2 linked regions of the Arabidopsis thaliana genome follow. The main gene of each other region encodes a partner of the protein of the gene in region 2 in a complex. Each region holds a gene or a part of one and is shown on either strand. Other genes may lie near its edges.

Region 1 (4,220 bases), on a different chromosome or scaffold from region 2:
TTTTGTTTTTATTACATTTTTGGTAAAAAATTGATGAAAAGAATATCGATGTCAAGATGTAAATACAAACACACACAAAATCGAAGCTTTTATTGTTATTATTTGGAGAAGTAAAAGAGATGGAAAAAAAATAAGAGAGAGCCGAAATGGAGAATGTACTAATTACTAAAGACGTGAAAAGGTTCTGTACGGCTCTATAATAGTCGACAATAAGAAAAAGGACCTTGTCTATTTGATGTATTCTTCAAGTATATCTGACATTTCCTTATTTCCTATCTATGATGTATGATTATATATTGTAACTTTCACTAAATCCAGTTTCATATTTTCTTATCACACAATCTCAGATGTCAACAATAGTTGTAACATCTCTAGTGGATCAATATTGAACCAAAGCAACCTTTATAACGACAAGTGTCTAGCCTGGACATGTGCACTGGAATCGAGCAACATTAAAAACAAATGTTTACTACTATAAACAATCGGTTTCTTAAGTCAAACAAAAAAAAAACGAAAGAAGAATCAAATACGATAGAATAGAACAAAATAAGCTATATTATTGTTATTCGATCAAATCATAAATACATTAATGATTGAAATAAGGAGTTTTTAAACCTTTGCTGTCGAAGAATAATTAAGAATATTACGAGAAAAGAAAAAAAAAATACATTAATGATTGTTAAGATGACATCAGATTGTGACGCAGTGATTGCGTCATCAAAACACGATAATTAGGCTCCAAAGACCAACAGTGATTAAAAAAAATTTCATAACAAATAAAAATCTAGCTATATCTCAGAATTTTGGAGATGATTTAGACACAAACTGAGTTGCGGAAGAAAAAGACATGTCGAATTCATGCAGTGGTGATAAACTCTGGTTGCTACAAATCCTACATTTGTCATATGCCAGAGGTAGAGAAGAAGATGAACATTCATGGTGATGAAAGAGAGCTATGCTCCATCTGACAATGTCCCCTTTGTTGTGCTGATGTAAAGAACTGTGGCCAACATAGAGCATATTTTTCAGAATTGGATATAAAAAAACATACTAAACCGATTTAAAGAGTGATGATGAATGTGATTTGGTTTTTACCATTGTTGCCACGGACAAAAGCGTCGCCATATGTGTTCTTCAGCTGGCCATTTACATACTCTTCGGTTTGCTCCATTGCGATGTTCATATATCCATCAAGACAAGTAAGAATGCCTGCAAACAAGAAGAGAGACAAAGTGTCATATGTAGATTGATACAACATGATATGCCAAAGAAAGAATAAGTCTGACTTTTGTAGATAAACCAAAGAAAGATATTCAAGCTAGAAGTTCTCCTAGTCCTGTAAGTTATATTATAGAGTTCAAGAGACCAAGGTCTTAATTTCAGGTGATAAAGGCTCCATAGCAAGGTGAGAGTCCATATTCTATCAGAAGCAAGAGTAAATGCATCTCAAATTCAACCACATTTGGGTCTGTTATCTCATGAGAGAAGCTCTCTCAATTCACAAAGCTATCATCTGAATCTAATATTCCTCTCAAATTCCAAAAAGCATATGTTTCAAAGCCGTATGTTAATTTCCTGCTCATCTAGATTATATTTCTCAAAATCCAAAGCAAATATCTCAAGCCGAAATGTATTATTCCTTCTCAAACACAGAGACAAGATAGGGAAAAAACAAGCAAGCTCAACAAAAATGAATCTTCAGAGATGGGACTTTCAAATCAAATGAGAATCAAGCAAGCAGTTCTTAGACAAAGAAAAGAGTCATTCTGTAAACCAACATCCAAAGGTTCCAGTAACATGGCGAGAAAGAAAGGCATTGAGACATCTAAACCCAAAGTGATAAAGAAGTTTACATAGACTTCCGATAGCTTAATAACCACCGAAAATCAGAAGCAAACTATAAGATATCATCACACAAGGCAAAAAAAAAAAGAATTTGAACTGGATACATCTTAGAGGAGAACACAAAATGCAGAAAGAGAGAGAGACAGACCTCGATAATCAACACCAGAGTTGAGCTTGACAACAACTGGTTTACCACGGATAGATTTCAAGAAATCAGCAGGTGTCTTAGTTGTTCCAGAAGCTTTCTCTCCAACTCCACTCATCTTCTTTGCTAAGAAACCACAATATCTGCCCACCAAATTAGATCCAAATCAAACAAGACCCCTCAGAATATCCCACAAAGCCAACAACTTTAAGCAACAAATTCATGTCAGCAATTCGAGATCCATAAATCAATCAAATTACATAAAGACCTTGAGAAAAGGAATCATCTTGAATACCAAACTCGTAGCATCTCAACGATTACTCCCGAATCAAACAAAACTATGTGCCCTAAAACCCTAAACCTCAGACCAATTAGGAAATGCGCGAATGACTTGGATTAAGTAAAAAGAGAAACTTTGAAATGGATTGCAGAAACAGATGAGTCTGGGAAATCTAAGAACAACGAACCTCGAGTCCACGAACAAACGGTAATTGGCTAGAGACTTCCGCTCGATGAAGCAGCCGAACAGAGCGAAGAAGACATGTGACGCATTTACAAATAAGTAAAAATAAAATTACAATTAAAAAGGCCCAAGCCCAAATTCGAATCAGCCCACATGGAAAACAATCCGAAGTCCAAGTTTTTTTATTGTGGTTTAATTATGTGCGAGATTAAAACTTTTTAGTCAATTTTAAAATTTTAATCGTGAAAATGGTGAATTTTCAAAATTCGTTGGGAGAAGAACTTTGCAAAGATGTTTGACATCAGCAATTTGGAAATGCCTAATGTGAACCAAACAAAAGAATAATTTCAGTTTCTTTTTTTACATTTTGTAAATAGTATAGCTTGCAATAATTTAACTTTTCACAAGACTTTAGTTCTTCTATCGTTTTAGGTTTAGATCAATAAATACATCTACACGTGACATAAATAATTCAACAGAGGACTGGAACACGTACAGAGCCCGATGATAGCAACTTGCAACAATCTGCCAAAATCTATTTAAATTCGCCTATCAATAAAAATATAAATATGTATAACACATATATTACTTGAGTACGTAGCAAATGAAACCAAAACATTAGCATACACCGAACCAAACCCGAGCCAACAGTTTTCACTTAGAACGAGCCATCGTCGTCGTCTAGAGAACCCGATGGACTTAGCCGTGAGTTGTTATTGATAACCACCGGAAACAGAGGCGTGGCGGTCTGGTTCGATGGCGAATGTAGTGGCATGGATCCATACACCGTTCTCTCGTTTACGCGTCCAACTTCTTTACACACTTGATCAAGAATCGTCAGAAAGTCTCTGACCACAGCGAAAATGCGAAAAGGATGAGTTTCCGAGTTCCCGTGGAAATACTCTGTTACTTCTTTAACCATCTTCATGACATTGTCTCCATGAGATTGTAACTCTGTGATCTCTTTCTCACCTTTGTTCAAGAACGAGTTCATTGACTCCAAGAATCTCTCTACACCTGTTTCTTGCTTTAGCTCCGTGATTACTTCCTTGACTTTCGCTATTCCTCTGGCGATTTCCGCTGTTTCGTTGATGAGGGAATTTGAATCCATTGCCGCTGCTTTCTTGACGTTAATCAGCTGAGAGCTGAGACCTGAAACGACTTGCAACCCGAGTTTCTTGAGCTCTAGGTCATCTTGGAATGCGGATTGCTCGGCCATGTTATCGCCTATATGGCTTTGACTCGGAGTAAAAGGAACCCGAGCTCCTTCAAATTTTATGATCTCTTGAACCACAAAATGCAATAAGGTGGTTTTCCCATCCGCGCCTTTGATATCTACCAGTTTTAAGAGCGTGTCGAGCTTGAAAGCATGTGCGTCCCCTCTATTGGTTCCTATATTCATCCGGTTCCCAGTCTTGAGCACGGCTTCTAAAAGCTTCAAGAACATCCGCGTGTTCTTTAACTCACCAGTAGCAGCCTGAGAGTTTGATCAAATGCATATGAATGATCTGTTTGATCAGCAGACATACACTTATGAGGTGGACAAGTAGAGTTTTACCTCGAGAGTGTCGAAGGATCTGTTAAGGTACTCGATTTCTGATTCGAACTTGACAATGTAAAGCATTGCATCAATCCTCTTGAAGGCGAAAGGAATGTTCAACAATGCTTTGAGGAATTTCTCTGCAGGTCCTATCTTGGAAGGAGATCCATCATCATCATCTTTAAGCTCCTTAAGCTTGTCCTCTTCTTCTTTAGTAGGAGCCATCT
Region 2 (3,642 bases):
TCGTGGCAGCGAAGACACAGTTTCAGATGACAAGCAATCTGTTTCAGCAGATGACCTCCTCGTAACACATACATTTCCTTTCTCTTTTCAACAGATTTGATCAAATATCAAAACCTCAATTTTGATCATTTTGTTTTATTTCGTGAACAGGCTCTAACGAAACAGTGTTCAAACGAATTGCTACAACAAGAGTTGGAGAGAACTCGTGTGAACACAGCATGCTTTGCAGAGTCAGCCCCATTAGAGTCAACGCCTCCATTACCCAAAGCTACCTACTCTTCCTTTAGAGGATCAATGGATTCTCCAAGCAGAAACTACAGAGGCTCACAATCATCTGGTTCTCCCATTAATGCCCGACCCAGACGAAGATAATAAGAGACCAACTTTGTTTATTTAATAATTTCTTCTCCGTTTATTTGTACGTAAATGATCATAATTCTCTTGTTCCTGGTGCATTTTTTTGTTTGTTTGTCTGTCTTTTTCAGACTCTTATCTTTATTTGTGAACTCAGATAATTGGGTTGTAATTAGTATATCACACGATCAAAGTATCTGAAAAGCATTGGAAATTTAAGCAAAGTAGCTTCTTCAAGCTTGTTTTAGTTAAGACAAGAAGTGACTAAATACAAGAATAGTCACAAATTCCCCTTACGAAAAGAGGACACAAAAGATTTGAGTTTGAACTCAGGCTGCTGTCCTCAGCGGTGGAGACACCAATATCACTCCATCTCCTCTCACGAATAGAAACTCAATCGTCCGCTTTGTAGTCTGCAATCAGAGATAGTAAACAAAACTAATCACATACATGAGAGACAAAAGCCACTTATCCTAATCAGATCAGAATTGTAGCCCGCCTAGAGGAGTCCCAACAACTAATATGTGTGTGCCTAAGAAGCTTAAAGAAAGAGACTTCTCTACTAGAAACAGTCAGTTACATGGAAATGCCTTCCTAATTTCGATCCAATAGCTTATATCTTCCAGAACAATAAGATTCGTGTAGGATATAATCTCTTGTCTAAGTAAATGTTCTACATTGAGCTGAAACTTCTGTATATAGTGAAAGCTAAAAGACACTTGTACACTTGTTCTCTAACAATATCCTTAACTTGAGATAGAAACTCATCAAGATCCCCCTCAAATACCTATAAAGTTAACTATTGAGTAAGAAAAAGCACGTACCCGAACAATCTCTTCATATGTCTCGTCATCGATTTCTACTGTAGTGATAGTTTCTTCAACATCACCCAGAATCATATTCAAATGCTGATCAAACGCCTGCCCAAAGAATTAACAACAACAACAACATCAAACCTAAGTGAGTAACTCAAGAGTGTAGAAATCTTCCAAAATTTAAGAACTTTGTCAAAATTAAATTTACACAAACCATAAATTCCCAATTGCAAGCTCATCGCCATAACTCGAGAAAACGTTTTTAGAAACTGAAACTTGAAAATCAAAACCCTAGACTTTCCCCCAAAAAAGGACCAAATTCGACACCAAAACAGTGAAATCGGCAAAATAAAGTTACAAAATTCAAACGAACTATGTGTGGAACGAGTATTTTAAGTAGTGACAAGTTCAAGGTACTAAGCAGGGCACAAGAAAACGTACGTGAAGCTTGCCGCGAAGTTCGCGGTCTGACCGGAGCTTGACATAGATTCTCTCGTCGAGACTCAGCCTAATCAGATCTAGTGGCTCCCTCACGGTGGCTTCTTCCTCGCCGGACATCGTGTAGACAGAGATACCTTCCCACCTGAAACACTTCTCGGAGGGTTTTGGTACCGACGAATCGTATAACCGGACACAAACTCTGATCTCGCGGACACGAACTTAACAATTTTGTTCTACGAATAAGATTTTACAAATATATGGCAACAGCCCAACAGAATATTAGGCCCATAAACGAACGTTGGCGAAAAAATGTTTTTTTTTTCAAAACTATCGGCATATTTTATTATTTCAAAGATTATCAATGGGTTCTACTAGCTAGGTTCTACTTCTACCTTGAGAAAATTGAGTTGAGGTCTTGTATGTATAGATATTTCAGTAAACAAATATTAATGTTAGATTTTAATTTTAAAATGTAAATTAAGATATTAAATTTGACGTTTTGTACTTCGATTCGTTTGTTTTCTACTTACAAGCGTTTCACAACTTTTTTCGAGTTGTAACGCTTGACAGTTTCACAAAGTAAGCATACGTGTAAAATAGAATCATTTATTGTGACTAATGTTTTTAACCAAATATGGTATCTTCTAAAACGTGATACCAATCACTTTTTAATCACTATATACAAATTTAAGTTTAATATATTTATATATAAATTTATAACTTTTTTTTATCTGAATTGTAACACTTATTGGTTCCATAAAATAAATATATGTGCGAGAGTATAATAACTTGGACATGATTTGGTGATGAAATTCTACAATATTGTGTTTTTAAAACTCACATTGTATCTACTAAATTTAAATTAATATAAATTTATATGTCCAAACTAAGATAACATAAATTTAAACAATATAGAAGAAGAACGACACTATTGTTAATAATTCGATAAGATACTAAAAAAAAAAAAAATATACACTTTTTAACCTTTTTAATGTGAATTGTAACGCTTCTACAAAATAAGCACACGTGTAAGAGTATAAAAACTTATTGTGGATTTAGTAATGAATCATGAAATGTTGTATTAATGATTCAATAAGGAAGTAAAAAAAAAAAGTTTAAAAAAAAAAACTAATACTTAGATTTCCCTTGACAATCATATCTTTTAATATATAAAAAAACATATAAATTTCAGTTATTTCAAAATTCAAATTCATACTCTACCCATAGTGACTACCAAAATCAATCGTAAATAAATAAATAAAAAAGAAATGGTGGGTCCAAATATCTTCTGATACATTGGACATAAATAACTTTTGTGATTTGTCACTAAAAAAGATTTAGAAACAAGACTCTCTTCTTCTTCTTCCTCTAAATGTTTTGTCCGCCACACGCATTGTCTCAGTGATCAGAGTTCTTCGTCTCTCTACTTGAACTCTCATCTCTAAAACCCTAGACTCTCTCGTCTTCAATCGTTTTAAAAAGGTCCGTTTAGTTTTAGCATGAAATTTTCTCTAAAGATAAGTTTTTTTTTTCGTCTTTTGTTAGCGATGTTTTATAGTTTATCGAATTCGTAGTGTTTGATTGCGATTGCTCTGTTTACAAGCTTACTTTGATCGGATGATTTAGGTTTCATATTTGGAGAAATCCATCTAAGAAAAGTTTGATTTTGAGGAGAAAGACTGAATTTTTATTTTCTCTGATTCAGATTTTTCTTTTGGAAACTGTAGAAATGGAAGGAAATTGCTCGCAAGGACGCTTTGATTCTCAAGTTTCTTCTATGAGAGATCTTCGTCCAAATGCTATAAATCAGAATCAGAAACAACACCATCCAAATTCTCGACAAGACTCAGGCTTTAACAATACTATGGATACACGTCACAACAATGTCGACAGAGGAAAGAAATCAATGAGTGAAGATGATGAACTATGTTTGTTAAGTAGTGATGGTCAAAACAAGTCCAAGGAAAACTCTCCTTGGCAACGTGTGAAATGGATGGATAAGATGGTGAAGCTAATGATAACTGCTCTTTCT

Evidence for each region.
Region 1: LSM3B (region 2) and LSM6B share a complex: the UniProt entries of both Arabidopsis thaliana proteins name them as parts of the heptameric LSM1-LSM7 complex.

What each region holds. Positions count from the first base shown.
Region 1 is NC_003071.7:18,147,613-18,151,832, reverse strand, and holds LSM6B (Small nuclear ribonucleoprotein family protein), read right to left. Parts: upstream 2,637-4,220; 5' UTR 2,458-2,636; exon of another isoform or gene 2,259-2,457; intron 2,134-2,258; 5' UTR 2,109-2,133; coding exon 1,994-2,108; intron 1,210-1,993; coding exon 1,096-1,209; intron 1,001-1,095; coding exon 954-1,000; 3' UTR 538-953; downstream 1-537. Other genes in the region: AT2G43800 (Actin-binding FH2 (formin homology 2) family protein), read right to left, coding at 3,112-3,930, 4,012-4,220. UniProt on the Arabidopsis thaliana protein: Component of LSM protein complexes, which are involved in RNA processing. Component of the cytoplasmic LSM1-LSM7 complex which is involved in mRNA degradation by promoting decapping and leading to accurate 5'-3' mRNA decay.
Region 2 is NC_003070.9:28,853,911-28,857,552, forward strand, and holds LSM3B (Small nuclear ribonucleoprotein family protein), read right to left. Parts: upstream 1,841-3,642; 5' UTR 1,728-1,840; coding exon 1,611-1,727; intron 1,275-1,610; coding exon 1,179-1,274; intron 768-1,178; coding exon 684-767; 3' UTR 504-683; downstream 1-503. Other genes in the region: SEC5A (exocyst complex component sec5), read left to right, coding at 1-61, 151-372; AT1G76870 (transcription factor), read left to right, coding at 3,340-3,642. UniProt on the Arabidopsis thaliana protein: Component of LSM protein complexes, which are involved in RNA processing. Component of the cytoplasmic LSM1-LSM7 complex which is involved in mRNA degradation by promoting decapping and leading to accurate 5'-3' mRNA decay.